Elephas maximus indicus: one gene and its partners. The protein of the gene in region 2 purifies or fractionates together with the protein of the main gene of each other region. This does not show direct contact. Links are inferred from orthologs where the notes say so. Each region holds a gene or a part of one and is shown on either strand. Other genes may lie near its edges.

Region 1 (10,326 bases), on a different chromosome or scaffold from region 2:
TATAGCAAACATTTATGCTTACGATGTGGGGCTGGCTGAGGGTTGGCTGATCTGGGCTGGGCCCAGAGGGACTCTTCACTCCATGTGTGTTATGGGCTGAAGGCGGAGCAGCCACTCAGAAACTCTTTCCATAGTGATGTCATGGCACAAGAAGAAATGTGTGAGGCCACCTAAAACCTAAGCTCAGAACTGGCACAGCTGTCACACAGCCAAAGCCAAAGTCAAGGCCAATCATTCAGTCTACCTCCATGGATAGGTTGTTTGTTTTTAAATAGGTATACACACTCATACAGCCACAGACAGTCCCACCCATGGAACATCTCTGGAAGGCTATATTAGAAAGCAGTAATCATGTTTGCTTCTGGGGAGGATGCATAGGGATCGAGGTGAGACGAAGACTCTTCATGCACTATTCTTATATTGGAAATCCTGGTGACATAGTGGTTAACAGCTACGGCTGCTAACCAAAAGGTCGGCAGTTCGAATCCACCAGGGACTCTTGGAAACCTTAGGGTGCCATTCTACTCTGTCCTATAGGGTCCCTATGAGTTGAAATCGACTCGATGGCAACAGGTTTTGGGGTTTATTCTTATATTCTGTATTCTCTGTGAATACTTTTTTTCTGGGAGTGCGTTAATTTTTTACTTTATTTTGGTGAAAATAGGTACACCAAAACATTCACCAATACATTTACGATTCAGTTCAATTCAATGACGTGGATTGCATTTTTCATGTTGTGCCACCGTTCTCCCTATCCTTTTCCAAAATATTCAGCCACCCGTCTGGGGTCTTAAATGCTAACTAGCGGCCATCTAAGATGCATCAATTGGTCTCAACCCACCTGGATCAAAGGAGAATGAAGAACACCAAGGTCACACGATAACTATGAGCCCAAGAGACAGAAAGGGCCACATGAACCAGAGACTTACATCATCCTGAGACCAGAAGAACTAGTTGGTGCCCGGCCACAGCCGACGACTGCCCTGACAGGGAGCACAACAGAGAACCCCTGAGGGAGCAGGAGATCAGTGTGATGCAGACCCCAAATTCTCATAAAAAGACCAGACTTAAGTCTGACTGAGACTAGAAGAATCCTGGCGGTCATGGTCCCCAAACCTTCTGTTGGCCCAGGACAGGAACCATCCCCGAAGACAACTCATCAGACATGGAAGTGACTGGACAGTGGGTAGGAGAGAGATGCTGATGAAGAGTGAGCTAATGATATCAGGTGGACACTTGAGACAGTGTTGGCATCTCCTGTCTGGGGGGGGGATGGGAGGGTAGAGAGAGTTGGAAGCTGACAAACGAAAGGAGAGACTGGAAGGGCTGACTCATTAGGGGGAGAGTAAGTGGGAGTATGGAGTAAGGTGTATATAAACTTACATGTGACAGTCTGACTTGATTTGTAAACGTTCACTTGAAGCTCAATAAAAATTAAAAAAAAAAAAAAATTCAGCCACCATGAACATAAACTCAAAGCTCCCTAAACAAAAACTTCCGCTTTTCCCCTTCCTCCCACCCCTGGTAACCACTAATAATCTTTAGTTTCTATATATTCGCTTATCTCACGCAAGTGAGATCATAGAGTATCTGTCCTTTTTCGACTGACTTATTTCACTCAGCGTGATGTTTTCAGCGTTCACCTATGCCGTGGCATGCAGCAGGACTTGGCTTCTCTTTGTGGCTGCATGATATCCCATGGTGTGTGTATGTGCCGAATTTTGTTTCTCCATTCATCTGTGGATGGACATTTCGGTTATTTCCACCTGTTGGGTATTGTGAAAAGTGCCGCAATGAACATTGGTGTACAGGTTTCTGTTTGCGTTCCTGCCTTCACTTTTGAGTATATATTTAGGATTGCAATTGCTGGGTCATATGGTAATTCTATGTTCGAATTTTTGAGGAAACGCCAAACTGTTTTCCATGGTAGCCGCACCGTTTTACAGTCCCACCAGCAATGGATCAGGGTTAATTTTCAAATGAAAGGGGAAAAAAAATAGAGTTTTTAAAAAACTGTGGCCAAGAGATGAAAATAGAAAAGCCCCACCTCATCCATCCATTCTCCTGAGATGGCAAACTGAGGCCTGAAGGAATAACATGGGCTATTTATTGAGTGCCTTCTTGGTTGTGATCTTGGGCAAGCGATTTCTCCTCTCTGTGCTGCAGTTTTCTTTTCTTTGAATGGAACTGATAATTGTCCCCATCTCAGGGGGCAGCTGTCCGGGTTCGATGGCTCTGGTACTTCTTGGTTGTGTGACGTTGGACGTGTCACTTAACCTCTCTGTGCCTCTGTGGAGTGAGGATAGTCCTAGCACCTACCTGGTGGGTTTGGTGTGAGGATTAATGGAGTTCCTCTGAGTACAGGGCTTGGCACAGGGCCTGACTCCAGTAAGAACTCAGAAACACCAGCACTTGTTGGTGTGGTGCAAAGGTGCTTGGCGCAGGGCAGGCCTAGAGAAATGGTCACCTTAGCTCACACTTAGCTAATATAAAAAATGCTGGGTGGTGAGCATAACCATCCCCGTTTTACAAATGAGGAAAAGAGAGGTCAGAAAAAGGTCACAGCTTGCTTTAGGTCACATGAAAAGGAAATGGCAAGACCAGGATCTGAACTCAGGTCTACTTGACTCCGACTCCTTCCACCACCCACCTCCATTCTTATACATAGTGTATACCATGTACCACCCTGTCCTAAGCTTTTTTTTTTTTTTTTACTGTATTTTCCATGAAGGTTCATATAGCAGTTTAGGTTCCTGTTTAACAATTTCTACACAAATTGTTCAGGGACATTGATTATATTTCTTCGCAATGCGTGAATGGTCTCATGATTTCCATTCTGGTTGTTCTATTTCCATTAATCTAGTTTTCCTGCCCCCTTATGAAACCCCGGTGATGTAGTGGTTAAGTGCTATCGCTGCTAACCAAAAGGTCAGCAGTTCAAATCTACCAGGCGCTCCTTGGAAACTCTATGGGGCAGTTCTACGTTGACTGGGAATGGACTCGATGGCAAGGGTTTGTTTGTTTTTTAATGTTCTCATCTTTGTTTTAAAGTGATTGTTGACTGGTATCATGTTTTTTTTTTTTTTTTTTAAGGAGAATTTACGGGTGAAAATTTCATTATTTTCTGAGCCAGTTTGTTAATTTAGCTGCAAGGTGACCTCAGGGGTTAGTTTCAGTTCAAGGTTTGGAGTATCTCAGGGCAATAGTCTAAGAGAGTCTCAACCAGTTCAGTAGGTCTGTTTTTTTTTTTTTTTTTAGGAACTTGAGGCTGTGTTCCACATTTTTCTCCCATTCTGTCCCAAAACCAACCAAACCCATTGCTGTCGAGTAGATTCTGACTCATAGCAACACTGTAGGACTGAGCAGAACTGCCACACAGGGTTTCCAAGGAGCGCCTGGTGGATTTGAACTACTGACTTTTTGGTTAGCAGCTGTAGCACTTAACCACTATGCCACCAGGGTTTCCCCCATTCTAGCAGGGTCCACCTATTGTGGCTTTGACTAGGACATTTGGTGGTGGTAGCCGGGCACCGTCTAGTTCTGGTCTCAGAGTAGATGAGGCTGCGGTTTGTGTAGACTATTTTTCCTATAGACTAGTTTCTTCTTTAAGTCTTTGGTTTCCTTCTTCCTCTTTTGCTCCAGATGAGTAGAGACCAATAGTTGTATCTTAGATGGTGTCCTAGGCTTTTTGCAGAAATTACTCTCTAATCGTCACACCAGCCTGACAAACTAGGTTACAGATGGGGAACTTGAGGCCCAGAGAGGTTAGTTCCTGGCTCAGGGATCACACACCGATTGAATGGCAGAACTGGAATTTGGTGCCTGGCCTCCTGGCTCCTGTCCGGCTGCCCTGCCTCCTGGTAAGTCCGTGGCAGATTCAATGTTCTGAGGCCAAAACGATGAGGGAGGGGCTCAGCTGCCGCCTTCAACCCGGTTCCCTAGAATTGCCTGGAGGAATCAGAGAGGGTGCATTTGATTTTCTTTTCAATCATTCAGTCAACGCCCATTCTCTCCAGTTGCTTCTCTGTGCTCAGCCTGTGCTGGGTGATGCTGGGACACAGCGTGACTGCTACCTTGTCTTCCCCTCCTGGGGCTCACAGTCCACTCGCGGAAACCGACCTGTCCCCAGACTTTGCCGATCTGGAGTGGGTGGGGCTGGGAAGGGGGAGCCAGGAGGCTGCAGGAACCTTGAGGGGGCGCCTGACCTAGCCTGACTAGAGGAGAAGGTGAGGATTAGGGAGGACATCTGCCCTGGGACTCGGGGAACAGGGAGCAGGGGCGGGTTAACTGCAGCTGTGAGGGAGGAGGAGCCCTGATGGCGCAGTGGTTAAGAGCTCAGCTGCTAACCATAAAGGTCAGCGGTTCGAATCCACCAGCTGCTCCTTGGAAGCCCTACGGGGCAGCTCTACTCCGTCCTGTAGGGTCGCTGTGAGTAGACTCCACCACAACGGGTTTGGTTTTTTTGGTTTTGGTGAGGGAGGATGCAGGGCTGCGCTGGAGTCTAGGCCGGGTCCACAGGCCCGCAGCGCCCTCTGGTGGAAGCCTTGTCAAATGCAGTGATCAGCGTACTGCCGGAGTTTGAAAAAGCTTGCGTTGAACCAAGTTCTATGAGGTTTGAGTCTTGTGTGTCCAGCTTTGACCATTTTACGATTCTAGGACTTGGTCCTTCAGTCACTCAACGAATATTTATTGAGCGCCTACCATGAGCCAGGCTGTGTTCTAGTGCTAAAGACACAGTGCTGACAATACAGAGCCCTGCTCTCAAGACGTGCTAACCCACTAACCCACTGCCGTAAACCAGGACATGCTAGTGGGGAAAACGGAATCAAGAAGATAATATTATTCAGTCAATAGCTAACAACTACTAAGCGCTTCCTATGTTCCAGGCCCTGATAGAAGTACTGTTCATATACTAACTCATTCGATCCTTGCAATAACTCTTTGACAATGCCCATTTTACAGATTAGGAAACAGAGGCACAGAGACGTTAAATTACTTGCTCAAGGCCTGCACAGCCAGTAAGTATTGGAATCAGAATTTGAATCCAGAGCCCACATTCTTAGTCATCCCATAACCTTGCTTCTCTAATAATGTAATGTGGTATATATAAGGGAGCCTCTGGGTGGTGCAAAGGTTAAGCAAGAGCTGGACTTCTAGCCAAAAGGTTGGTGGTTCAAACCCACTAGGAGGCACCTTGGAAAACAGGCCTGGCAGTCTGTTTCTGAAAGGTCACAGCTGTGAAAACCCTATGGAGCAGTTTTACTCTGCACACCTGGGGTCTCCATGAGTCGGAATCAACTTGAGGGCAACTTACAACAACATGGTGTTGTCATGTGCGGTCCAGCTGATTCCTACTCACAGCAATCCCATGTGACACAGTAGAACAGCCCCTTAGGGTTTTCTTGGCTGTAATCTTTACATGAACAGATCCCCAGATTAAAATAATATAAATGAATGTAATATGCTATAATAACATAATAGAATTATGATATGTGATACCCACACCCATCGCTGTCGAGTCAATCCCGACTCATAGCGACCCTACAGGATAGAGTAGAACTGCCCCATAGGGTTTCCAAAGAGCGGCTGGTGGATTTGAACTGCCGATCTTTTGGTTAGCAGCCGAGTTCTTAACAACTAGGCCACTAGAGCTCCAATATGTGATACAACATATAATATAAAATCATTTTTAGCCCCTGAAATATTTTCTGAACAAAATCAAGCAGGGAAATGAGCTAGTATCTTGATGGAGGGTGTAATTTAGATGCGGTGGTCAGGGAAGTCCTCTCGGAGGAGGCAGCCTTTGGGAAGAGCCCTGATGACGACGAGATCTGTAGGAAGATCTGTAGGAAGAGAGACCAAGCTCTCGAGGTTGGCATAGCAAGAGGGCCATGGTTTTGGGATCCAAAGTTTCCAAGATTCCAAGTTTCCAGGACTCGAGCTCTGCCGCGACTCCGGTTTCCAGGCCACCAGGTGCTGGAATCATCCTTAGATTCGACGCACCTTAGAGGCCCTGGGCCGGGCAGCAGAGGTTCCTCGACTCCCGCCGCCAGGCCTCGGCCGGAGGCTTTCCGCGGCGAGGGGCGGGGCCGGCTCACCTGTGTGGGCGGGGCCCCTTGGCCGCCCCGCCCCCGGAGGCGCAGCCTGTGGCCCGAGACTCTGGGATCAGCTCCGAGCGGCCGGGCTGGGGGTGGTCGGGGAGCGGGGCGGCGTAGCTGGTGCCGGAGCCTCCGAGGTCAGGTAAGCCCCAGGGACCGGCCAGGGGTCCCAGGGGCCAGGTGATGGGGGCGGGGGCCGAGGGAGGAGCCTCGGGCCAGGAGTACCCCTGGGCCCGCTCACCTGGCCACCAGGAAGGGCCTTGGGGCCCCTGGGCGCCCCCTTTCCAGGCCGGGGTTCCCGGGGATCTGGGGGCCTCGCTGGGGCCGCGCCCCCTCTCCCGCGCGTAGGTAAACAGGAGCGAGGACGGGGCGGGGCCTGGGGGAGGGGGGAGGAAGGGGGCCCTTGTGACGGGCGCAGGGAGGGAGGGATCCCTGGGTGCGGGGTACGGGGTGCGGGGCTGGGCCGGCGGCCAGGGGTAAGCGTACGCGGTGGGGGGAGTATGATGGGAACCTCCTCCCTGCCTACCTGCGTGTATGCGTGCGTGTGTGTGTGTGTGTGTGAGGGATGGTGTGAGAGGCTCTGGTGTGTACGAGTGTGTGTGATGGTGTAAGGCTGTGGGTATGGATGTGAAAGGGTGCTGGTCTCTGTGTGTCACTCCGTGAGGGACCTAAGGGCCTGTGTGTGGGGCAGTGTCAGCGAGGTGAAAAAGTGAGCAAGCTTTTGACTGTGTGCACCTGTGAGTTGGATTGTTTGCAGGACTTTGTGTATGTGATTGCAAGGTTGTGTGACTGTGGCCAACTTTCTGCTTGTGGATGATGTGTGTGTGGGAGAGTTGGGCTGTTTCTGGGACTTTACGTCAGGACAAAAGATATGAGACTTAGGAGACCATTGGCAGCTAGTGGTTGTGTGTCCCTGCATGAAGCTGTGCGTATAATGGGGAGTCCAACTGTTTCTAGGCTTATGTGTGTGATCAAGAGCGTAGCTGTGGTTACCTTTCTGCCTGAGCCATGGTGTGTGCGTGTGTCCATAGGACTGCGTGAGTGATAACGTGCCTGCAGTTGACTCTGTGTGCCTCTGTGAGGGTGCATGTGGCTGTGTGACTGTGTCAGGGAGCTGGGATGTGTGCTGGGGAGGTGGGTGTGAGGCCACGACTTTAGAGAGGGACTGAGGGGGTTGACCGTGACTGGCTGAGCTGCTCTGACCAGGCGGGACGTGCAGTGAAAGCTTGCCTGTTATGGGGGGCTGGTTGAGTGTAGGAGAAGGGCGCTGGAGGAAGGGATGTCCGAGTGATGTGTGCCTGGGATTATCCCCCAGCCATTCTGTGGGATGACAGAGAAGAAGAGGGCGTGTGTGTCCGGGTCGATGTGTGAGGTGACTGTGGATCTCATCCTGTCACGACGTGCCTCTGCACAGGAGACTGTGCAGATGAAAGGGGTCCGCTGCTCTGGGAATGGAGGAGCCTGGGAGATGGTGTGTGTTAGGAGGCTGCCCGAGCCTTGTGTGACTGTGGGAGGGCTGGGTGGTCAGACTGGCTGAGGTGGCGTGTGACCTTGGGGGAGGTTGTGTCTGATGGCAAAATTGTGTGAATAATGGTTGTGGTTGTTGGGATGACTGTTGATGAGCTTGTGTGATTGTGAGTTCCACTATGGCTTGTGTGTGAGGTATGAGATTTTATATATATATATATACACACACACAGTAACACCTGTGAAAGATGGAGCCTGTGTCAGGCAGAAATCTGTCAGAGAAGGAAAACTAAAATATTTCCCACTAATAGAGAGCGATAGAGAAGCGGTAAGACGGCACCCTGTCAAAGGCAGAAAACTTACAAGACCTGGAAAAGCAGGGCAGTCCCACGGAGTTCCAGCTCTCACAGGTTTCACACACACACATCTCACACACACACACATACATATACACATATACATATGCATGTATGGAGCCTCTCGGTGGCTCAAATGGTTAAAGGCTCGGCTACTAGTTGAAAGACTGGTGGTTTGAGCCCACCCAGAAGCCCCTTGGAAGGCAGGCCTGGCGATTCGCTTCTGAAAGGTCACAGCCTGAAAACCCTATGAAGCGGTTTCTTCTCTGCACCCATGGGGTCGCCGTGAGTCAGAACTGACTTGATAATAACTAACAACAACAATATGTGTGTATATGAAAGGGGGAGAGAGAGACTGAGGTTAATGGCGATCAACAGTCGGTTGTACAGTCCACAGGATTCCATTCACGCCCTTTCTGTATGTATCTACCAACCAGTTGCAGGCAAGTCGATTCCGGCTCATGGAGACCCCATGTATGTCAGAGCAGAACTGTGCTCCATAGAATTTTCAGTGGCTGATTTTTTCTGAAAGCAAATCACCAGGCCTTTCTTCTGAGGCATCTCTGGGTGGACTCGAACTGCTAACCTTTGTTAGCAGCCAAGTGCACTAACCGTTTGCACCACCCAAGGACTCCTGTATGCGTCTAAGTGTGCTTGATCATGAGTGTGCTAAGAGGTGCTAAACCCCTGGGCTGCTCATGGTGGACACAGTGGCTTCAGTGAAGTGTACCTGAGAGGATGGGTGTGAAAATCGGGGAACTGCCTTCTCTGTGCAGCCACAGGTGTCTGCGCTGTGGGCACCGCTTCCGGCAGGGTAACTGAGTCTGGGAGGACTCCCTTGTGTTTGAAGCTCTCTGTGTGTGTCTGTGGGTATGCAGTGTGTAGGTGTGTGAGTGTGTGGCTGTCCAGGCAAGGACGTGAGGGAGCATTTGGGGAAGATGGTGACAGGTTCACAGTGACTCCTGGGAGGCGCTGCGGAGGTAGTGGGGAGTTGGCGGCTTGCAGGCTGTGTGAGCGTGCGGGAGTGTGTATGTCGTTGGGACAAGCAGAGAGATCAGGAGACGGTCTAAATCTGAGGGATTTGCTTATACTTTCTGAGGCGAGGGAGCTAAGGGGAGGAGAGAGTTAGTTTCCGTGTGGGTTGGCTGTTACTCCAGAGAGGAGAGTGTGCCTTTGTGTTGGGTTGTATTTCCAAGAGGGAAGTGTATGTGTTTTATTTCAGAGAGAATAGGTGCGTGTGTTAGTATGAGTTAGTGTGTTCTATCAGGTTATAGTTCTAAAATAACCTAAAAGGAAAATGTGTGTGTGTGTTGCATTGTATTTTTAAGAGGACTGTGCCTCGTGTGTATATGTGTGTGTGGTATTCAGTGGGGCAGGACGTGTCGAGTTGTATTTCTGAGGAGTGTGTGTGTGTTGTGTTGTGTTGAAAGAAGAGAAGAAAGTGTGTGTGTATTCAGTTGTATTTCTGAGAGACGTATGTGTGTATATTGTATTTGAAAGAAGGAAGTGTGCTTGTGCGTGTGTTGAGATGTATTTCTGAGAGAGGAGTGTGTGTGTGTGAGAGAGGGTCCCAGAAGCACCAGAAGTTAGGTACCTGTGACCTTGTCACCCATATATACCCACAGGAAGTCCCACATGTGGGACGCCCACTCATTACGACCTGGTCCTCAGACCCTCAGCTGTCACATGGCCAGTGTGACATCCACAAGTCACGCCTGACACCCGTGTGTCCCATCACGCCCTGAGCCAGCTGGGCCTGTGTGTGATGGAGGGCAGGGCCCCTGCTCCCTCAGGGACCCTCAGCTCCTCATGCCCCAGGAGCTGACATATGGGGCTCCCCACCATACCCCCAACCTAGCGTCTCCTCTGCTTCCAGCACCCTAACCTCATGGCCCTGTCCTCCTCACCCCAACCCCAGTTGTCTGACTGGTTCCCAACAAAAACTCAGTGAGAATGAGCTCATGGAGAGGCTGACGCCTCCACACGCCCCGCCCCACATGCCCAGGGACGAGTGAGCCTCCATCCTGGTCTTCCAGCCCTGATTCTGGGTTAGGGTCTCCTGGGTCCTTGGGGTGGGGAGGGCTGGCCAGGTCAGCTGAGGGCCGGCATGGGGTCCTTGAGACAGCTGCTTGCCCTCTCTTGGCTAGTTATACTTAGTGGGGTTTAGGGCGTTGTCCTCAGGGCAGGGCCCCAACACAGGTGGACTCGGATGTTCCCAAATAAGAGCTGTCCCGGATGGGGAGGGCGTGGCGGCAAGGGACTGGCTGGGATGAGCAGGGCATGGAGGCAGAGGGATAGCTGGGATGGGGAGAGGTTGGGCCAGGGAGGTTCTGCTGGTGGGATGGGCGTGGAGCTCGGGAGCTGGCCGGGATAGGCAGGTAGGGTGAGGAGGCAGGAGGCTGGCT
Region 2 (11,013 bases):
ATTTAAAGAATTAAACTATAGTATTAAATACAGTATAGGTGCGGTGTTTTTGTCTGACCTGGCAAATAATTTTATGTTGAAATACTACCTATAGAAGTATTTGAAAGATGGATCGAATATGTATGGGCATAAGGGAGAGAAATATTCCAGGGTGGGATCAGCACGAGTTTGAAAATAGCAAATTATAAGAAGGGGACAATGAAAATGCCAGGTGCCAGGAGTCTAAAAAATTATTTGTGAAACAGTGGGGAAGTCAGATTCTAGAAAGCCTTGGAATCCAAATGTTATGGACTATGTACCTCAAACACATTTATTGAAATCTTGGCCCATACACCTATAAATTGGGAGAAAGACATGGCAATCTGCTCCCATAAAGTTAACAGCCAAGAAAACCACATAGGGCAGTTCTATTCTGATATATGAGGTCTCTATGAGTCAGAATCAACTTAATGGCACCTAACAACAACAACAATATCTATAAATATGATCCTTTTCATAAATAGGCTTTTCTCTGTTGTATTAATTAGGCCACACCTAAGTAGGTTGAGCTCTAAATCTAATCACTTCTGAGTTATGAAGACACACAGATACATACAAGGGAAGACAGTGCCATGTGAGCATCCTTGGCTTGTAGAGGAACTGTGAGAAAATAAATTTCTGTTCTTTAAAGTCACCTACTTGTGGTATTTGTGTCACAGTAACATGAGGTAACTAAGATGCCAAGTAGAGGAACTTGAACTTGTTTGGGTAGGAAAAAAAGGAATTGGTGTAGGTTCTTGAATTAGAAAATGATGTAATAAAAGCAATGTTTTAGGAAATTTAATCTGAAAAATTCAGACGAAATAATGGCTGTGGGAGAGAATTGTTTAATCTTTTTCTCCATTTCATCTCTAACACCTATCTCAGTGCCTGGCTCATTGTAGGCGCTCAATCCATATTTATGATTATTTGAATGATCAAATGGAAAAGAGGCTGAGAGCTATTGTAATACCATAGGCATGAAGTAATGAAGCCCTAGACTAGGAAGGGGTAGTGGAAATGGAGAGGAATGGGTGTCTCTCATATACGCTTGAATAAAAGAAGTGCTATAGTTTCCTATTCTAAAAGACCTTTTAAAAATAGTCATTTCGCATGAAATTCTAAAACAAAATTTCCATAGTAATGTTATAAACAATGGTTATGTTTGTAGACCCCCTCCAACTAGTTAATTTATAATCAGTCTAAATATGGTCTGATATAAGTACAGAAGTAACATTTTATAGGATTATTTCCAAGACATAAATTTTAAGTTCCAAATTATAGGGTATTATTCTAGTTATCTATTGCCAGCTAACAAATTATCCAACGCTGGGCTGTTTAAACCAATAATCATTTTATTATATCTCATCATTTTATGGGTCAGGAATTTGGGCAGGCTTCAGCTGGGTGATTCTTCCACTTCAAGGGTGTCAATTGAGATCACTCAGTGATAGTCAGCTGTAGGTGTGTTGATCTGAACAATCTGAGATGGCTTCACTCGTATGTCTGGTGCCTGGGTGGAGATGGATGGAAGGCTGGGATCACCTGTGACTATCCACTGTAATGTTACTTGGTCTCAGCATGGTCTCAGGGTAGCTGGCCTTTTTATACAGCAGTCCAGAGCTCCTAGGAAGGGTGTTCCAAAAGACCAGGGTGAAAGCTGCAAGGCTTCTTCTCAGTTAATGTCAGATATCACACACTGTCATCCTTCTGCCACATTACACTGGTTACAAGTGAGTCATAGGGCCAGCCCAGATTCAAGGAGAGAGACTACACAAAGGTAAGCATGGTTCATTGGAGCACCATCTTTGGAGACTAAGTTCCATTGTGAAGATTTAATATTCTAAATCTGTGTAGGAGAAAGTACCACTCACATTTTTATAAGAAAAACTTACTGTTATGGATTGAATTGTGTTCCCCAAAAATACGTGTTGTAAATCTTAACCTCTGTGCCTGTGGTGGAGTCCTGATGGTGTACTGGTTAAGAGCTCAGCTGCTAACCAAAACGTTGGCAGTTCAAATCCACCACCCATTCCCTGGAAACCCCGTGGGACAGTTCTAGTCTGTCCTATAGGGTCGCTATGAGTCAGAATCGACTTGACAGCAATGGGTTTGGTTTTGATTTAATGCCTGTGGTAGGAGTCCTGGTGGCACAGTGGTTAAGCGCTCAGCTGCTAACCAAAAGGTTGTTGGTTCAAACTCACCAGCCACTCTGTAGGAGAAAGATGTGGCAGTCTGCTACTATAAAGATTTACAGCCTTGTAAACCCTATGGGCGGTTCTACTCTGTCCTGAGTCAGAATGACTTGATGGCAATTTGGTTATACCTGAGGTTCAAATTCCATTTGAGAATGGGTTGTCTTTGTTATGTCAATGACAGGAAAAGTGTAGGGTTGAATCAATCTGTTTTGAGATACAAAAGAGATTAAATAAGCAAGCAAGAGAAGCAGAGATGGGAGAAGAGAGCTGCCAAGCCACATGAAGATTGCCTAGGAGCAGAAGATCAGAAGAGACAAAGACCTTGCTCCAGAGCCAACAGAGAGAGAAAGAAATCCTTCCTTTAGAGCTGGCACCCTGAATTCAGATTTCTAACCTCCTGAACTGTGAGAAAATAAATTTGTTTGTTAAAGCTATCCATTTGTGGTATTTCTGTTATAGCAGCACTAGATAACTAAGACAGCAATGTTAATGAGTCTCAAATTATACTCTCAAGGAAATCTACTTCACTGCTAAAGAATAATGCAATATTTTCTACATTTGGGCAAAAAACTGGAATTAAGCAGTTTTTTAGTCATCTTTTGTTCCCTCAGCAAAATATTTCTTAAACCCCTATTGCTTTGTTCATTACTACTACGACAGGACAATTTTTGGAAATATACGTGGTTTTCACATAGCATGTTTCTCCTTCCTGGATCTGTGATGACAATCTTTGTGCTCCCTTGCCCAGAAGAAGTGTATTTTAGGTCTGAAAGCAGAAGGCTCTTGTAGACACTTCCCTTTCTGGATTTTGTTTTCAAAAATCCTGAGCTTCCAGAATCTTTTATGCAGGCGGAAGGGAAAAGAGTCGAAAGGCAACAGAAGTTGGCAGGTACCACATCAGCAAAGGTTCCCACAGCTTCACTCTTTGGCCCTTTCCCTCACCTTCTTTCCCTCTCCACACCCATAAAGTCTCTTAGGTCATCTCTTTGGAACCTCTAGCATTCCATGGAGTAGAGTTTGAAAATCACTCCTCTAGGTTAATCATTCCTGAGATCTTCTGAGTTGGGGAACAAAGAGGAACGGTAGAGTAGAAGTTGGAGAACTTCAGGTACAGACTACCATGCTTGTTTTCTGCATGTATGGGGGTAAAGGAAATGGAGCTACAGGTGACTGCAGCTTTTCCAGCCTGAGACTATGGATACCCATCATCGAAACTGGAGAGCTGAAGAGTTGGATTAAGTATTTACCTGAAGTGGAAGATATTTCATTTCATTTCTGGAATGCTAAATCTGAGATTATGGTACAGCATCCTAAACAAGGTGGCCTACAGGCAGCTGGAAGAGATGGGAACATCACACAGGTGAAAAGTCGGGATTGGAAATAAGAAATTCCAGCAATTGTTGAAGAAGTGAGCTCAGAGAGAAAAGAGCAGAGGGTTGAGGACAGAGCCTTCATGAGATCCCACTGCACAGGTCGAAAGCTGGTGGCCCACCTGCCACATCCAGACCACAGGTGTGTTTTACTTAGCTTACACATTTAAAAAAAATTTTTTTTAATTAATAGCCAATTTAACTTAATTTAAAATTTGAGAGTTTTCAAAGAATCTGGATTATAACTTTTCTTGAAAATAAGAAGACCTGACAGTGTTAGGGTCACATTCTCCCATGGCTTCAGTTGAGTAGCTGCTGCTCCCTTTAGATGCGGCAGCTACTGTCCAGTTTTACACAGTCCATTCTGGTCAATTTCACCCATTTAATAGCAGCAAGAAGATTAATAGTCAATGGGAACGAGTGAAGGCTTAGGTTTTGTTGTTGCTTGAAAGACGGGAGAGACTAAGCATATGTTTCCTTCCTCACTCCCTACCCTAGAGAGGCTGACAAAAAGAAGAAATCAAATATGCTAGAAGATAGGGACTGCTAGTGGGATCCAGGTGTTGAGTGATGTTAAAAGAGATTCAGAATATAGATGAAAAATTAATTTTAGGGAGGTAGAGAACTGTCTTCTTCTGAAATTAGAGGTAATAATGACAGTATATAGATATGATGAAGAAACCAGGATAAGAAAAACAGGACTGAAGCGGTGAGAAAGTAAAACTCTACTCTGTCATCCATCAGACCAGACTAACAGACAAGATAAAGCCAGCTGCAAAGTCATTAAGAAACAATACTTCTCGCATGGTGTCATGGAGTGAATTGTGACCACCAAACACATGTGCATGAATTTGGCTGGGCAATGATCCCCAATATTGTGTGATTGTCCACCATTTTGTCATCTGATGTGATTTTCCTATGCATTGTAAATCCTATCACTATAATGTTAATGAGATGGATTAGTGGTAGTTATATTGATGAGATCTACAAGACTAGATTGTGTCTTAAACCGATCTCTTTTGAGTTATAAAAGAGAGAAGCAAGCAGAGAGACAGGGGGACCTCATACCACCACGAAAGCAGTGCTGGAAGTAGAGCCCATCCTTTGGACCTGAGGTTCCTTCCAAGAGAAGCTCCTAGACCAAGGGAAGAGGACGTTCCTCTAGAGCTGAAAGAGAGAGAAAAGCTTCCCCTGGATGTGACACCCTGAATTTGGACTTATAGCCTACTGGACTCTGAGAGAATAAATTTTTGATGAAGCCATCCATTTGTGGTATTTCTGTTACAGCAGCACTAGATAACTAATACACACAGACAAGCTGTATTTGTGAAGTATCATAGCAGCTCCCTTATTTGAGGGATTACTGCTTTCTTACTGAGCTTTGTTTTCCAAAGTCACAGACTATCAGAAACTACTGTGTGAAATTATCCCAGTAAGAATGAAACATTCCACTCTTGCCTGGAGGATCTAAGACATAAAGAAACAGCTTTGATTTCCAATTCGTGTGCAGAGTTTCGGAGAAGGGATTTCTGAAGAAACATTCCACATCAAAACTTTCTAGTTTCCCAGGGAACAGGATCCTGGGTCCATTTTGTAGCCCAGGACTTATGTTGATACCTTGGCTCACATCACTGGTTCATTTAAATTTTACCTAAACTCCACACTTGCCCCCAGATTTTGTTTGGTGAGACAACTGATGATGGTTCTAAGAGCCAGCAAGGGAACAAACCTCAAGCTGTTGGATCACGGCTTAGTTTCTGGTGTTACAAGGATGATTGGGGGCATTGGACGTTTTCATAGTCCCATCCTTCATTTTACAAACAAAAATTGAGGACCAGAGAAAAGATTCCAAATTGTCATTATAGTTCTCTTTCCACAGCATCTCAAAGCCACTTCCACGTGAAAACCCTTCATGGTATCCATCTAAAAATAGGAGGTGAAGTCAACTGTGGAGTGGCTTTCCTTGGACATGTAATCCGCAAATTTATCCAAGCCTTTTGAGAACATTTTTACACTTTCAGCCCGCCCCAGGCCAGTCATTTCTCAGATGTTGGCGTTGAGGAGCTCCATGAATTTATTATCTGCTAAGGTGGGACCTCGGATTCACTGAGGGCCTTCTCACATGTTGCCGCAGCATTCCACATTTCTTCCGCAACCTTCTATATTCCCTAGGGCAAATTTCCTTCTTTCTTACTCCTGTCGTCCCAACCCACCGTCAGAATGGAGCAACGCCTTAAATCAGAAAGTAACATCTCACCCTTCCTTTTTCTGGCAAACCGCTCTAAAAAGATCAGCTAGTAAAGTTTTTCCCCAGACCAAAATGAAAGCGAATACTTCCTTTTCCGAATATAGTATTTTATTTAAACAAGCTACGACAGTAACAGGTCCCGTCTCCTGACAAAGAAAAGAAAGCTAGGCGCGTCTGCCTTGGCTCTGGGGAATTCCGCGGCCGGACGGTGCTGGGAAGCTGCCGCCTGGGCTCCAAAAGCACTTTTTGAAGACAGCATCCAATGAAACTTGAATTTGCAACCGGCGAGCGGAGAGCGATCCCAGGAGGCGGCCACACTGAAGAGGCGGTGGGGCGCGGGCGGGGATTGGGCCCGCCGCGCACGCGCGGTCCTTCGCTCGCACCGCCCATTCCCGGCTCCCCGCCGCCCCATCGCCGCGGCTGCGCCTTCGAGACTGGTCGGGCGGCAGCCCGCGAGCGGGCAGGGGTACAGCCGGGCGGCCAGACTGTTAGCCCGGTCTGCTCTTTCCCGAGAAGGGAGGAGAGGGCGACTTCCTTGGCCTCGAGAATCTTCTTAGCCTCGCAGCTGGCCCTGGCCGGCGAGGAAAAAAGTTAAGGAGCCCCGGGACACTTTACCGGTACCGCCGCCGTCATGGCTGCCATGATGGAGCGGAAGTGAGCCTCAGGGCGACGGCTGCCGGCGCCGGTACTTCGAGTCTCCGCTTGTCGGCCACCCTCAGCCGGGGAAGCGCTGCGCGGAAAACTGCTGATTCCCACCGTCCTCGCGACCCCCGCTCGCTGGCACTCCCGGCCAGACCCTCAGCTCGTGCACGCTTCCTTCAAGACTGAGCGGCGGGGAGTGGCTCCCGGCTTCTGGCCCCGCAGCGAGGAAGATGGCGGACCCGGCCGAGTGCAACATCAAAGTGATGTGTCGCTTCAGACCTCTCAATGAGTCTGAGGTGAACCGCGGCGATAAGTACGTCGCCAAGTTTCAGGGAGAAGACACAGTTATGATGGCGGTGAGTGACCCCCACCTTTACCCGCATCGTGCTCCATCGGGCCTGACTGGGCCTAGAGTTCAGTGAAGTGGCGGAGTGCAGGGTTGGGGGAGCAGTGGTGTTCCCAAGCCTCCCGGGCGGGGTTTGCCGGTTCAGATAACCCAGGGGAGGGAGGCTGCGCAGCTCCACGGGTTTTCTTGGATCGCCCCCACCCGGGTCTAAGGCGCCCGGCGACGGGAGGCGCCTCGTCTCAGCCTGGGATACACCCCTACCTGGGGCGGTGGAGGAATCGTCGGGGGAGCAAATTTAGTGCATATTTGTGTGTGTTTATGTTTGTGTGCATTTACTGTTGCCGATGCTGTTGGTGTTTTGGACAACCCCCAAATTTGCCATGCATGAAATAAGTAAGGTTAATTTAGAAGCTCACGGACTGTGAGACCAGCCCTAGCCCTAAAAAAAAAATGGTACCTTAAATAGTAAAGATGCTTGGTTTTATGGAAACCTACAACTGCATGTTAAACCGTGTACTATCTCCTGCGGGAGAAGAAAAACTACCAAACTATATATATTGTGTACCTGAACCGAAAATGTTCACCCACTCACCTTTTTGAATGATGACTTCATGTTAATAATTACAAACGGCGAGTCGAGGACTAAAAAGAACAGTGAGTTTTGACATCGGAGTGATGAATTTTTGTTTAATATTTTAGCTGGTCAGGTCCAGATCGGGTGAAATAAGTGCCCAGCAAGATCCAGAACCTCATCCTTAACGGATTTAATGGGATAATAGTCTAAGACGGTGTTATTTTTTGTATATCATTAAATATAATAGCAAACTTTTGTAAAAAAGTTGTCCAGTGAGGTAGATTTCTTATTTTATTGCTAGATTTGTACTTACGCAATTAAGAACTACCTTGAAGAAAAAAGGTTTTGAAGACCCCAGGCATGGTGAGATATTGCCCCTTTGTAGGATAAAGCATGGTAATTAGAGTTGGCTGATCCTTGTCAAGGAGCGCTGGTGGCGCACTGGTTAAGCGCTGAGCTGCTAACCGAAAGGTCGACGGTTCGAACACGCTGTTCGCTCTGAAGGAGAAAGATACGGCAGTCTGCTTCCGTAAAGATTTACAGCCAAGGAAACCCGATGGGGCAGTTCTACTCTGTCCTGTAGTCTATATGAGTCGGAATCGACGCCACAGCAGCGCGTTTGGATTTGGTTTGGATCATTGTCGAGGAAACCGGAATGTGAGGTTGATTCGTTGATGTCTTATCTGTCTTTATACCCCTGGCGTCGAAATATCGGAAAATGGCATTCTCAGTTCAAGGAAATTAAAAATGAATAGTAACATTGCATACAAAACAGTGAACTATGATTGAAAATTAAATTCACATTTCTTGGTGATGCTGTGGGGCAGAACTTTTTTCTACATTACTTTCTGCATTGCATTTCAGTACAAACGTTTGCTATGTTAATTTGCCATATTTGGGCAGCTTAATTTAGAAGTAGGGCAAAGAGGTCATAAGAGATGGGAATTGATGATGGAAAGCATTGACATATAAGATAGGACTGAAGTTCGTTAGGGCTTTGTGCAAATATTTCCAAATGAATGTTGTCTCTAGAAAATTAATGCCGTAGCTCCCAATTGCTATCAGTAGGATTTTGGTAGACAAGGCGTTGGGTCACTAACAACTGCCAACCACTACTGCGTGAAGACTGTCAGGCTGGTTCTTTATTAACAAGTCCCCAAGAAAAACTCTCGCTCTCATGACATCATAGGGAGGTCAAGTAGTCATCCTTTTTGTTTAGGATATTATATTTTACTAGAATCAGGGGAAGCCTGGATTGTTAGTTGGCAAACATGAGGCTACTCGTTTCTCTCAGAGCTTTGGTGATTACTCAGCTTCAACAGTGGTTGACACATCAAAGCTATTTTCTTTTCACATTGGTATTAAGGATGTCTTATTTCTCCGGATTTCGTATGTGTTTATGCAATATCTGTATCACTAAGATTCTTTTAAAATGCTAGCATTTAGTTAGCATTCATAAAATGTATTAAGATTAGAAGTCAACCTTCTCATGTGGCCCAAATATGACATATGAGGAGAGAGCTAAAGGAAAACAAGTAATTGCCACAGGAAGCATACATTTATTCTAGGTTTTTTTCCTTTGGAATAATTTACAATATATCTTTTTGTTTAAAAATTTCCTTAATAATGTAAATAGATTTAAATGACAGTATTAGACATGATGGATAGGAGTTGTGAATCAGTAATGAATAGTTGGCTTTTAGGTAAACTGGTAGGCATTTTAGTCTGGTGTAAATATGTATATATAAGCAAGAATACATTATAGCTGAGTAGCTTTAAAAAATTTAAGGCAGCATGTTCAGTTTATTATTTTTAGGAACCAATTTTTTGAGCATAGTAAGTGCATTATTTACTCCAAGGTCTCATATTTTTGTACAATTTCGAAATGAATTATTTTGCTTTCTAAAGGAGGTTAGGAATTTATAAGGGCAGCTTGGGGAAGTAGAATTAGAAAATCACTAGGTAAAATCATCTCTTGGGAATACTGGTCCTGATTTTGATTCAAAATAAAGAGTTTAGGAGGGAGTTGCTACAATGCAGCATTTAAAACTAAATTGCTTTACAGTAATTCTGTTTTTTTCCTGAGTTCCATTTCCAGTACTGTGACATTAAAAATGTTCCCTTTTACTCATGTAATCAGTGATTTTAATGTAATATAACCCCATGGCAGGCAAGCCTTGTAATTTATAGTGTTCCTCTGTGTATTCTGCAGCCTTTTATACACATTTATTTGTAATTAAGTCCTTAGTGAAGAGCTGTAAATATCACACATTAATGAAATAAATTATTTAATAAAAACCTTTAAATGATACAAATAGAATCTGTTTTCTTTTAAAAGGGAGTTTGGTCAGTTTTAGGAAAATAGTATAGGCAACACCAGTTTTTCTTTTTTTTTTTTTTAAAGCAAAGGTTTTTAAAATAAGAGAACTTGTTATCCACAAAAAAGGGAGGACAAGGGAAACCCCTTGTATAGTTTCAGTAAGCCTGCTGAAAACAGGGCAGGGCGGGGGAGGTCAGTAGAAAAAATTACTTTTGAACCTGTTTATGCATCCTAAAGGTAGAACATGCTTGTTTGCATCATTGAGTATCTGTGCTAATCAGTATTCATTGTGTGGTATACTGTAAAAAAAAAAATACTGTAAAGGCTGCCAAAAACAGACTGTTCTTTGAAATTAGAGAATTAAGCTAATTAGATCATCTTGTCCAGTTCCTTGCCTAAAGCAAAACACTGTTGTCCTTTTCAAGTGAATGATGATTTGGTGTTTGAACCTTCTGTTACCTTAACAGTGAAGATTGAAAGAAGAGAGGGTGCCTCTATTTATCACATACCTTTAAAATACTGGAATGTTAGCCTACAGTCATTGTTTAAGGAAAATCTAATATGGTATAATCCCATGTAATCTGAAAAATCCCACAGGAAGGCATATCCTTTCCAGAAGGGTGTCCTTCATAACCAAATTTGGTGTTCAGCTTGGTCTGTGCAGACTCAAACAGGAATTGCCTCATATAAGAAATCTAAGGTATGGCTGCAGTTCAGATAATAAAGTTATTCCTGTTTGATTTTGTCCCCTGATGCTTAAATGAGACGTGACTCCGTCTTGTGACTTGGAGTTTGTAAAATTGAAATCTGAAATTTTAAGTATCTTCAAAGATACGTAGAAATAAAGGTGGTGTAATGTACAATTCAAAGCTAAGAACCAGGGTTTTTTTTTTTTTTTTCCTTCTTTTAAGTATTATTTTGGCAAAAGTTTATACAGCACATTCAGCTCCCACTTAGCAATACAGGTTGTTCAGAAACATTGGTTACGTTTTTCACAAGGTGTTAACATTCTCATTAGTAATTCCATTCTGGATGTTTCGCCTCCAGTAGTGTGGGTTCCCTGTCCCCTGGCTGTTTCATCTTTGCTTTAGAGTAATTGTTGACCATATTTGGTCTCATATAGATGATTAAAAAAAAATTTTTTTTTTACTTTGTTGTTGTTGCTTAAAATATACACAGCAAAACATACACCAGTTCAGTTTCTACGTGTACCATTTGGTGACATTGATTACATTCTTCGAGTTGTGCAGCTATCCTCACCTTCCTTTTCTGAGTTGTTCCTGTCTATTGAGTTGCT
Region 3 (10,332 bases), on a different chromosome or scaffold from region 2:
CCAAGAAGCGCCTGGTGGATTCGAAGTGCCAACCTCTTGGTTAGCAGCCGTAGCACTTAACCACTATGCCACCAGGCTTTCACTTAGTCTGGATTCATCTCTGAAACCTGTCCACCATGGGTGACACTGCTGGTATTTGAAATACTGGATGGCAGAGCGTCCATCATCACAGCAGCATGCAAGCCACCACAGTACAACAAACTGACGGACGGGTATGGATGAATGTATTAGCTATCTTTTTTTTTTTTCAATTGTGCTTTAAGTGCAAGTTTACAAATCAAGTCAGTCCCTCATACAAAAATTTATATACACCTTGCTATGTACTCCTAGTTCTCCCCCTAAAGAGACAGCACACTCCTCTCCACCCTGTATTCCCTGTGTCCATTCAGCCAGCTCTTGTCCCCCTCTGCCTTCTCATCTCCCCTCCAGACAGGAGATGCCCACATAGTCTCATGTGTCTACTTGAGCCAAGAAGCTCACTTCTTACCAGTATCGTTTTCTGTCTTACATCCCAGTCCAATCCCTGTCTAAAGAGTTGGCTTTGGGAATGGTACCAGTCTTGGGCTAACAGAAGACCTGGGGACCATGACCTCCAGGGTCCTTCTAGTCTCAGACCATTAAGTCTGGTCTTTTCACAAGAATTTGAGTTCTGCACCCTACTGCTGTCCTGCTCCCTCAGGGGTTCTCTCTTGTGTTCCCCATCAGGGCAGTCATCAGTTGTAGCCGGGCACCATCTAGTTCTTCTGGTCTCAGGCTGATGTAGTCTCTGATTTATGTGGCTGTTTATGTCTTTTGGGCTCATAATTACCTTGTATCTTTGGTGTTCTTCATTCTCCTTTGCTCCAGGTGGGTTGAGACCAATTGATGCATCTTAGGTGGCTGCTTGCTAGTGTTTAAGACCCCAGACGCCACTCACCAAAGTGGGATGCAGAATGTTTTCTTAATAGATCTTATGCCAATTGACCTAGATGTCCCCTGAAACCATGGTCCCCAGATCCCTGGCCCTGTTACTCTAGCTTTCAAAGCATTCTGTTTATTCAGGAAACTTCTGTGCTTTTGGTTTGGAACTGTTGTGCTGAGCTCTCCTGTATTCTGTGTTGTCTTTCCCTTCATTTAAGATAGTTCTTGTCTACTATCTAATTAGTGAATATCCCTTTCCCGCCCTCCCTCCCCTACTCATAACCATCAAAAAAAATTTTCTTCTGAGTTTAAACTATTTCTTGAGTTCTTGTAATAGTGGTCTTAATGTGTTAAAACAAAAAAAAAAACCATTGCCGTCATGTTGATTCCGACTCATAGAGACCCTTTAGGACAGAGTAGAACCGCCCCATAGAGTTTCCAAGGAGCGCCTGGTGGATTCAAACTGCTGACCTTTTGGTTAGCAGCCGTAGCACTTAACCACTGTGCCACCAGAGTTTCCCTCAATGTATTAGCTATCTTTAAAAAATCACAGGAAAAAATCATCAGCAAAAGCTCAGGACAGGGGAGAAGAACCTGGGTGGACTGTACCTGGGATGTCAGTGCCTAGGGTTTTACACACGCTTAACCTGAGCAGACATGGCTGCACTGGAAGACAGGTGTGCTCACTCAGGGAGGCCCACGTCCCACCTTGAACTGTGCAGTTCACACCTGGTCTGGATCACTGGGCCTGGGCTGAACACCACATTCCAAGAGTGAGTCTGACATGCTAAACTACCCTAGAAAAGATAAACCGGGGTGGGGAAGGGTCAGGAAACTGCATAGGAGTGGGTGAAGGAATCGGGTCATCAGGCCAAACAGAAGGGAAACTGGGTGAGGTATCACCACTGTCTCCAAATACCTTTGTTGGCAGAAGGGAGGCAGACTGTTCTTCCTGAAGATAGAGTTGAGGCAGGAGTGAGCCCTTGTCTTAGTTATCTGGTACTGCTATAACAGAAATACCACAGGTGGGTGACTTTCACAAAGAAAAAATTATTCTCTCACAGTCTAAAAAAAAACTAGGAAGCAAGAATTCTGAATTCAGGGTACCCGCTCCAGGGGAAGACTTTCTTTCTCTGTCAGCTCTGGGGGAAGGTCCGTGTCATCAATCTTCCCTGGTCTAGAGGCTTCTCAGCAAAAGGACCTCGAGTCCAAAGGATGCACTCCCCTCTTGGTTCTTCATTCTCAGTAACATAAGGTCCCCCTATCTCTCTGCTCACTTCACTTTTTTATATCTCAAAAGAGATTGACTGAAGATACGACCTAATCTTGTAGATTGAGTCCTGCCTCATTAACATAACTGACTCTAGTCCTGCCTCATTAACATAACTGACTCTAATCCTGCCTCATTAATCTCATAAAAACAGGATTTACAACACATAAGAAAATCACAACAGATGACAAAATGGTGGACAATGACACAATACTGGGAATCATGGCCTAGCCAAGTTGACACACATTTTTGAGGGACACGGTTCAATCCATGACAGCCTTGTTGTTGTTTGTTGTTATGCTCGAACCTATTGTTGTAGCCACTGTATCAGTCCATCTCTTTGAGAGTCTTCCTCTTTTTCGATGACCCTTTACTCTTTACCAAGCATGATGTCCTTCTTCAGGGACTAGTCCATCCTGATAACTCACCCAAAGTATGTGAGGCGAAGTCTTGCCATCCTTGCTTCTAAGGAGCATTTTGGGTATGCTTTTTCCAAGACAGATTTGTTCATTCTTTTGGCAGTCCATGGTATATTCAATATTCTTCGCCAACACCATAATTCAGAGGCATTGATTCTTCTTCGGTCATCATTATTCATTGTTCAGGTTTGCATGCATATGAAGTGATTGAAAACACCATGGCTTGGGTCAGGCCCACCCTAGTCTTCAAGATGACATCTTTGCTTTTTAACACTAAAGTGATCTTTTGCAGCAGATTTGCTCAATGCATTGTGTCATTTCATTTCCAGACTGCTACTTCCATGGGTGTTGATTGTGGATCCAAGTAAAATGAAATCCTTGACAGCTTCAGTCTTTTCTCCGTTTATCATGATGTTGCTTATTGGTCCAGTTGTGAGGATTTTTGTTTTCTTTATGTCAAGGTGTAATCCATACTGAAGGCTGTAGTCTTTGATCTTCATTAGTAAGTGCTTCAAGTCCTCTTCACTTTCAGCAAGCAAGGTTGTCATCTTCATAACACAGGTTGTTAATGAGTCTTCCTCAAATCCTGATGCCTCATTCTTCTTCATATAGTCCAGCTTCTCATATTATTTGCTCAGCATAAAGATTGAATAGGTATGGTGAAAGGATACAATCCTGACACACACCTTTCCTGACTTTAAACCATGCAGTATCCCCTTGTTCTGTCCAGACTACTGCCTTTTGATCTGTGTACAGGCTCCTCATAAGCACAATTAAATGTTCTGACTGCCCTGTAAAAAAAAAAATAATAATAACTGTTGCCGTCGAGTCGATTTCAAGTCACAGAGACCCTATAGGACAGGGTAGAACTACCGCATACGGTTTCCAAGGAGCACCTGGTGGATTCAAACTGCCCACCTTTTGGTTAACAGCCATAGGTCTTAACCACTATACCACCAGGGTTTCCGACAGCCCTGTAGGTAGGTACTTTTAGGTTTATCTTAGGAAAAACTTCCTGACATGTAGAGTTATCTCACAGCAGAATGGAGTGAGCTTCCTGTCACAGAATGTACTCAAGCTAAGGGTGCTGGACCATCTTGCAGTCAGAGATGATGCCAAAGGGATGCTTGCCCCCACCAGGATGCTGAGCCTGGTGAATCCTGAGTCTGAACGCCCCCTGCCTCAGGAGGCATGCCCCAGATCCCTGCACAGCTTTTGTCCCCAGGGTGGTCAGCACACTGTCACCCCTAAGGGCTAGTGACCTAGAAGCAGTGGGTACAGCACCAGGCTGGCCTCTGACCTAGGGCTGCAGAGCCGCAGACCAGAAGGCAGGGCCAGGGTGGGACCTAGCGAGACCATCAGGCATCCTATGTCTTTTTTTAAATATAATTCAGTAATCATTTATTCAATACTTGCTTTGTACAAGATGCTGTCTAAAACAAGTTGATGGGAGTTTTTCTTTTTATTGCGGTAAATATATGTGTAAGCATTTGCCATTTCAACATTCTTCGTGTGTACGATTCAGTGACATTAGTTCTTTGTCTTATTGTTCAGCCATTACCATTATCCATTTCCAAATTTTCCCATCACCCTTAACAGAAGCTCAGTGTCCCCCCCTTTTTCCCCTCCCTGCCACCCGTCCCTGGTAATCACTAATAAACTTTGGTCTCTATGCACTTGCCGATCCTAGATATTTCATGTAAGTGGGATCAGACAGTAACCCTCTGTGACTGACTGATTTCACTCAGCATAACGTTTTCACCTCTGATTTTTTTAAACCAACATTTACTGAGCTATGTGCGTGCCAGAAGCTGCTCTAAGAGAACAAAATGGGCAGGTCCTAGCCTGCATTCCAGGGGGAGACAGCAAATCAAGGAAAAACGCTAGAGAGATAAATGCTAATCAGAGAAATCAGGGAGTGCTGGAGAGGGGCTGGAGGGCTGCTCTAGATGGGGGAGGGGAATCAAGGAAGGACTCTGAGGAGGTGACATTTGATCTGAGCCCCTAAAGACCCTGGTGGTGCAGTGGTTAAGAGCTATGGCTGCTAACCAAAAGGTCAGCAGTTTGAATTCACCAGCCACTTCTTGGAAACCCTATGCGGCAGTTCTCCTTTGCCCTATAGGGTCACTATGAGTCAACTATGAGTCGGAATCGACTCAGCATCAACGGATTTGGTTTTTGGAATGACGTCACAGACCAAGGATGCTCCAACTTGTCCTGATCGTCACTCACAAGGCCAGGAGTCTTTGTCGATGCCCAGCTTCCCCTTGCCACCTCTCCCTTCTGGCCAGATGCCTCTGTCCCTTCCTCCCTAAAAAGCAGCCCTAAGATGCCATGAATCCCCTACAGGGCCAAGGACACCTGTGAAGGGGTGGGGCATAACCACCATCTGGGAGATGGGGTTAAGACCAAAGGTCTGGGTCTGGAGACAAGCCTGGGTACAAATCTGTGAAAACAGCCTTTGTGGCAGAATGGTTGACGGTTCAGACCCACCCAGTGGCTCATTGGGAGAAAGACCTGACAAAATGCTCTCCCAAAGATTACAGCTTTGAAGATGGGTCAGTTCTACTGTCACCTGGGGTCTCCGCGGCCCCCAACAACAGATCTGTGAGAGGCGGGTCTTTGTGAGCATTAAGTCCGTTAAGGTACTGAAGGCACCAAAGCGCCCGACACGCAGTAAAACCCGTTGCAGTAGATACCGACTCATAGCGACCCTATAGGACGGAGTAGAACTGCCCCCATAGGGTTTCCAAGGAGGGCCTGGTGGATTCGAACTGTGGACTTTTCGGTTAGCAGCCGAGCTTTTAACCATTCCGCCACCAGGGTTTCCCAAAACACAGTAGGCACTCAATAAATGGCAACAACTATCGTAATTTTTAGTCCCAGTCTCGCTCCTGATTCCGAGGTCGCCCGGCCGAGCCTCCCTGGGCCTCAGTTTCTCCCGTCGCCTCTCTGCCCGCTGCACTGGCTGCGATCGTGTCACGATCTCCCGAGCCGTTCTACACCCCTGGTGGCCGAAGGCCTCGGGGCTTTGACTGCCGAGAAGTCCGGGCTGCGAGAGCGTGGGAAGCTGCCGCTGGGAACCTGCACCCCGGGGCAGCCCCGCCCCGCCCCGCCCCGCCCCGCCGCCTCGGTGGCCACGCCCCCCCGGGGCCGGTCGGCCGGAGCTGTTCCTTTAAGGCAGCCACCGGGCAGAGAGGAGCGCGCTTCGCCTCCTCCGACGCCGCTGAGGTAGCGGCTTCACCTTTAAGGCGGCGCGGGGACTGCTGGGAAGGCCGACGGGATGGAGGCGGTGGGACCGGCTCACGGTTGCGGGTCCCGGTGAAGCGGGGTGGGATCCGGAGCCGGAGCCGGGCCAAGCGGGAGGCTCAGGTCGGCGCGGCCTGATAGGGCCGGGCGGGGGTCAGGCCTAGAGGGGCGGCCTGGAGAGGGGGCGTCGTGGGCGCGGCAGGGAGCGCCTGGCGGAGGGGTCGCGGCCGGTGGGGCAGGGGCGCGGCCTTTCCGGGGGCGGGTTGGCATGGCCACCCCGGTCTTGAGGCAGGAGATGTCGTGGGCGCGGCCTGGAGAGATGGGGGACCACCAGGTCTCGGCCCTCCCCAGGAGGGTCTCCGTGGGGTCGGCCTGTCCCGGAGGAGGGCTCCGTGGCTCTGCCGGCATGCTGGGAAGGGGGCTGCCCGGGGGGCTGGGACCGGGCTCTCCCGACCGGGGGTGAGCCCCCACGACCTGCGTAGCACCATCCCCTGGCGCGCCCTGCCTTAGAGAAAGGAATCCCCAGGGAAGCCCCGAGACCAAGCAGCCCATGCCGGCCTGAGCTGGTGGTCTGGGGCCGAATTCAGGTCTGGCCTCACGCCGCACCGCATTGCGTCTCCGGGGCGAGATGAGCCGGGCGCGCCCCCTGTAGGCCGAGCGTGGGCACGGTGCGGGCTGCCGGCCGGAGGACTGGGGCACCTGGGGGACTCAGGCGTTTGGGGACCGCCGGTGTTTACCTAATCCGGGGCGGTCGGCGGTGTGGCCCCAGGCCCGGCGCCCGCCTGCCGCCCTCTCCCTTTCGCAGGCGGCGCGGCCATGGCCACGGCCACGATGGTGCTTCCACGGGAGGAGAAGCTGAGCCAGGACGAGATTGTGCTGGGCACCAAGGCCGTTATCCAGGGGCTGGAGACTCTGCGCGGGGAGCATCGTGCCCTGCTCGCCCCCCTAGTCGCGCACGAGGCCGGTGAGACCGAGCCGGGCTCTCAGGAGCGCTGTGTCCTCCTGCGTCGCTCTTTGGAAGCCATAGAGCTGGGGCTGGGGGAGGCCCAGGTAGGCTGCCTGGGGCACTGAGATGGGAGGGGACAGGAGGAGTGGAGCCTTCCATATAATCCTGGCATCGGAGAAGCAGAATCTGTGCAGGGAACCATCTGTCCCTGGCCCAACTTGGGTTAAAACCAAAAAAAAAAAAAAAAACCATTGCTGTGCAGTTGATTCCGACTCATACCGATCCTATAGGATGGAATAGAACTGCTATCCCAGTAAATATCTGTTTCAATGAATGCTCTTTGGGGACCCCAGCCCTGCCCTGCCCCAGGAGTCCCTGATCAGCTTCCACCCAGCACACTGTTCCTGGCTCCCTGCTACCTAGCAGAGATTGGCTGACATAGATGAGCAGAAAGGAAGTCTTTAAGGAAACATGCCCCCAAATTCTTCATTCTTTTATTTATTCATTCGCAGATAAGTTATCAAGTGCCCACTATGTGCCAGGCACTGTTGGGTGCCAGGGATACAGGATCCAACAAGATGCCTGGCCTAGTCCAATAGGAAGAAAGACAGAAACATACATTCACAAATAATTGTTACAAAGTGTGGTGAATTCTAGGAAGAAAAGCAGAAACATATATTCATAAATAATTGTTACAAAGTGTGGTGAATTCTAGAAAGAAAAGAACAAGATCCTGTGGTAACTTATAGTAGGGTTCCTGTTTATTGGTCAGGCAAGTCTTCTCTGAGGAAATGACATTTAAACCAAGGCCTGAAGGAAGGATGAACCAGCCTCCAGAAAAGGGAGGAAGGGGAGAAGTTGCACGTGCAAAGGTCCTGAGGGAGGAAAGATCTCATGGTGATGCAGGATTCTCAGGAAATGGAGAAGCCTTTGGAGGGCTTTACGGGGGCAAGGACCATAGTCTAACTTAGGTTTTGAAAACTCCCTCTGGATGAGGTATACAGAATGAATTACAGTGGGCCCCATAGTTGGCCCAAAGTGGAAGCAAGCGGTTAGGAAGCCACTACTGGAATTTAAGTGAGAGATGGTGGCTTGGACTAATGGGGTGGCCATGGAGGTGGAGAGAAAGGGCTAGGTTCTAGATGCTTTTGAGGTAGGCCCGAGGGGACTCTGAGGATCAAGTGAAGGAGACAGGAGGCAGGGCAACTCCCAGGCTTGTGGTTTGAGTAAGTTAAGGGGCCACCAGAGCCTGGGGATGGGTCAGGAGTTCTGTTTGGCCTTGAGTTGGGGCTGCCAGGATGACAGGCAGGTGGACGTGTCCACGGGCACTGGGGCATGCCAGGAGTTAAGCTCTGGGGAAAAAAAATTTTTTTCTCCGAGCCCCTGGCTGGCTCTGGGAATCCTGGGCAGGTTGTATTATCTTGATTTTCTTGTCTTTAAAATAGGAGTTACTCCATCTGCTGTACGCACTTCCAGGCTGTTCAGAGAATGTTTTTAAAAGCTAGCGGTTGTAAAAACACCTGTCATTAGGCATTTGCCAACCAACTAGAAAATGTAGGGCCCAGACTGCCTGGCCCTCTGGAAGGCATGTTTGTGCCTAGGCCTCAGCCACTTGATTCTTGGGTGCAAGATGGACACACGGGCCCCACCCCAGGGTGCACAGACACAGATGGGGAACAGGGTGGTAGAGGGTGCCGGAAGCCCAGTATGAGATGGAACAGAGGGGAAGGAGCCTGGAAGGCTGAGTGGGGTTTCAGCAGAGGCGAAAGGAGGGAGGGCATTTTAAGCAGAGGGAAGAACCTATCCCACGACCCCCCAGTAGGAAGAGCCTGGAAGCTCAGGAAAGGGGAGAGGGGTAGGGCCTCAGTCGGAGGCCCTGGATCTCCTTACCTGCCGCTGTGGTTGCACAGACCATCTGGAGCTTCAGGGTTCCCACCTTTCCCTCCCTGGGAGCTTCAGAAGGACAGGGGTACCCTGACCCTTGGGCAGAGCTCAGGATGGGGTCTTTCAGCCGGGGCTCTGGAGCAAGGTTGCAGGAGAAGGCTTTTAGTTGCCCACTCTGGGTGAGAATGGACAGTGGGAATGGCAGAGTAGAGGCTGTGGCTGCAGGGGCCTGAGTATCACCCCCAGGAGAGATGAAGAACAGTTCGCTAGCCTGTGGAGAGCACAGCACCCAGCTAGCCCTCTTCCTGCTCAGAACACCCTGTCAAGGGGGGCAGTGCACCATCAATGCAGATGCCAAGCTGAGACCCAGGAAAGGGGTGGACTTGGTCAGGGTCCAGCAGGGCCAGACTGGGAGCCCAGGGCTCCCTACTCCAGAAAGGAGTCTGGGGAGCCCAGGCCTCCTGGGCTCAGGCCTTGGACTGGTCTGTTAGGGGCCTTGGGGGAAGTGTCCTAGCCAGGCCTGGCTCTTCCTGGGGTCCGAGAGCTCCAGCAGGCCCAGGCTGGAGGCCCCCGCTGTGAGGTGGACAGGGCTCTGATCCTCATCCCACTGGCCGCCACAGGTGATCCTGGCACTGTCAAGCCACCTGGGGGCTGTAGAGTCGGAGAAGCAGAAACTGCGGGCTCAGGTGCGGCGCCTGGTGCAGGAGAACCAATGGCTGCGCGAGGAGCTGGCGGGGACGCAGCAGAAGCTGCAGCGCAGCGAGCAGGCTGTGGCCCAGCTTGAGGAGGAGAAGCAGCACCTGCAGTTCATGAGCCAAATCCGCAAGTTGGATGAGGACACCTCCCCCAGCGTGAGCCAGGTCAGCTGCCAGCTGCACTGGGCAAGGGGCCTGGGGGCAGGGAGGGGTGGCCCACTGACCCCCAACTTCCTCCCTGACACCAGGCCTGTCTTCCCTCCAGGAGGAGAAGGGGGATGTCCCCAAAGACTCTCTGGATGACCTGTTTCCCAATGAGGACGAGCAGGGCCCAGGTGCTGACGGGCAGTTGGTTCTGGAGTAGGAGGGTGGGAAGCCGTATGAATTCCTGGTCCTGGGACCCCAGGGGTTCCAGGAAATGGGGGCCGAGTGGCCACCATGCTCTTTCCTGCCTCATTTCTGACCCCAACACCCTGCCTGTGAGATCTTAAGAGGCCGGTTCTTCCATGTTGCCTTCCCGCCCCCACCCCCCCCCAGCTTTCTGAGGGGGCAGTTAAGAGTTCTGGAGCAGCTGGGCCTGTTGCAAGTTGCTGTGACCACTGGTAGTTTCTTCTCCTCCCCGAGGCGCCCCCACCCCGGGCGGCTGCAGATCACCCTGAGGGCGAAGGAGGAGGAGCCGCATGCGCAGTGCCGGGCTGGGGCCAGCTTGCCTTGCCTGAACTATTGAGCACCTACCCGAGCCTTCATTCTGCAGATGAGGAGGCTGGGCTCAGAGGTTAGATGATTTGCTCTAGGACACACAGCTTGACGTATGGAGCAGGGACTCCAAACTCGCTCATTCTGTGGCCTCCCTGCAGGTGGGCAGGCTTGGGGTGACGACTCCTCTACAGATGGGGAAATCGAGCCAGAGCGGTTAGTGACTTGCCCAGAGCCACCTGGGCTGGCCCAGCCCCATCAGTAGATGGTACA

What was found.
Region 1: the proteins of KIF5B (region 2) and KLC3 purify together in Homo sapiens (affinity purification with mass spectrometry; 3 studies listed by BioGRID and IntAct, with this or other methods). This does not show direct contact. The link is inferred for Elephas maximus indicus from reciprocal best matches to the Homo sapiens genes KIF5B and KLC3.
Region 3: the proteins of KIF5B (region 2) and KLC2 fractionate together in Homo sapiens (co-fractionation; 7 studies listed by BioGRID and IntAct, with this or other methods). This does not show direct contact. The link is inferred for Elephas maximus indicus from reciprocal best matches to the Homo sapiens genes KIF5B and KLC2.

The regions. Positions count from the first base shown.
Region 1 is NC_064829.1:104,372,635-104,382,960, reverse strand, and holds the start of KLC3 (kinesin light chain 3), read left to right. Parts: upstream 1-6,126; 5' UTR 6,127-6,240; intron 6,241-10,326. UniProt on the Homo sapiens protein: Kinesin is a microtubule-associated force-producing protein that may play a role in organelle transport. Plays a role during spermiogenesis in the development of the sperm tail midpiece and in the normal function of spermatozoa.
Region 2 is NC_064822.1:22,777,991-22,789,003, forward strand, and holds the start of KIF5B (kinesin-1 heavy chain), read left to right. Parts: upstream 1-6,261; 5' UTR 6,262-6,706; coding exon 6,707-6,832; intron 6,833-11,013. UniProt on the Homo sapiens protein: Microtubule-dependent motor required for normal distribution of mitochondria and lysosomes. Can induce formation of neurite-like membrane protrusions in non-neuronal cells in a ZFYVE27-dependent manner.
Region 3 is NC_064825.1:129,406,617-129,416,948, forward strand, and holds the start of KLC2 (kinesin light chain 2), read left to right. Parts: upstream 1-5,758; 5' UTR 5,759-5,820; intron 5,821-5,827; exon of another isoform or gene 5,828-5,961; intron 5,962-6,607; 5' UTR 6,608-6,654; coding exon 6,655-6,888; intron 6,889-9,288; coding exon 9,289-9,528; intron 9,529-9,628; coding exon 9,629-9,698; intron 9,699-10,332. UniProt on the Homo sapiens protein: Kinesin is a microtubule-associated force-producing protein that plays a role in organelle transport. The light chain functions in coupling of cargo to the heavy chain or in the modulation of its ATPase activity.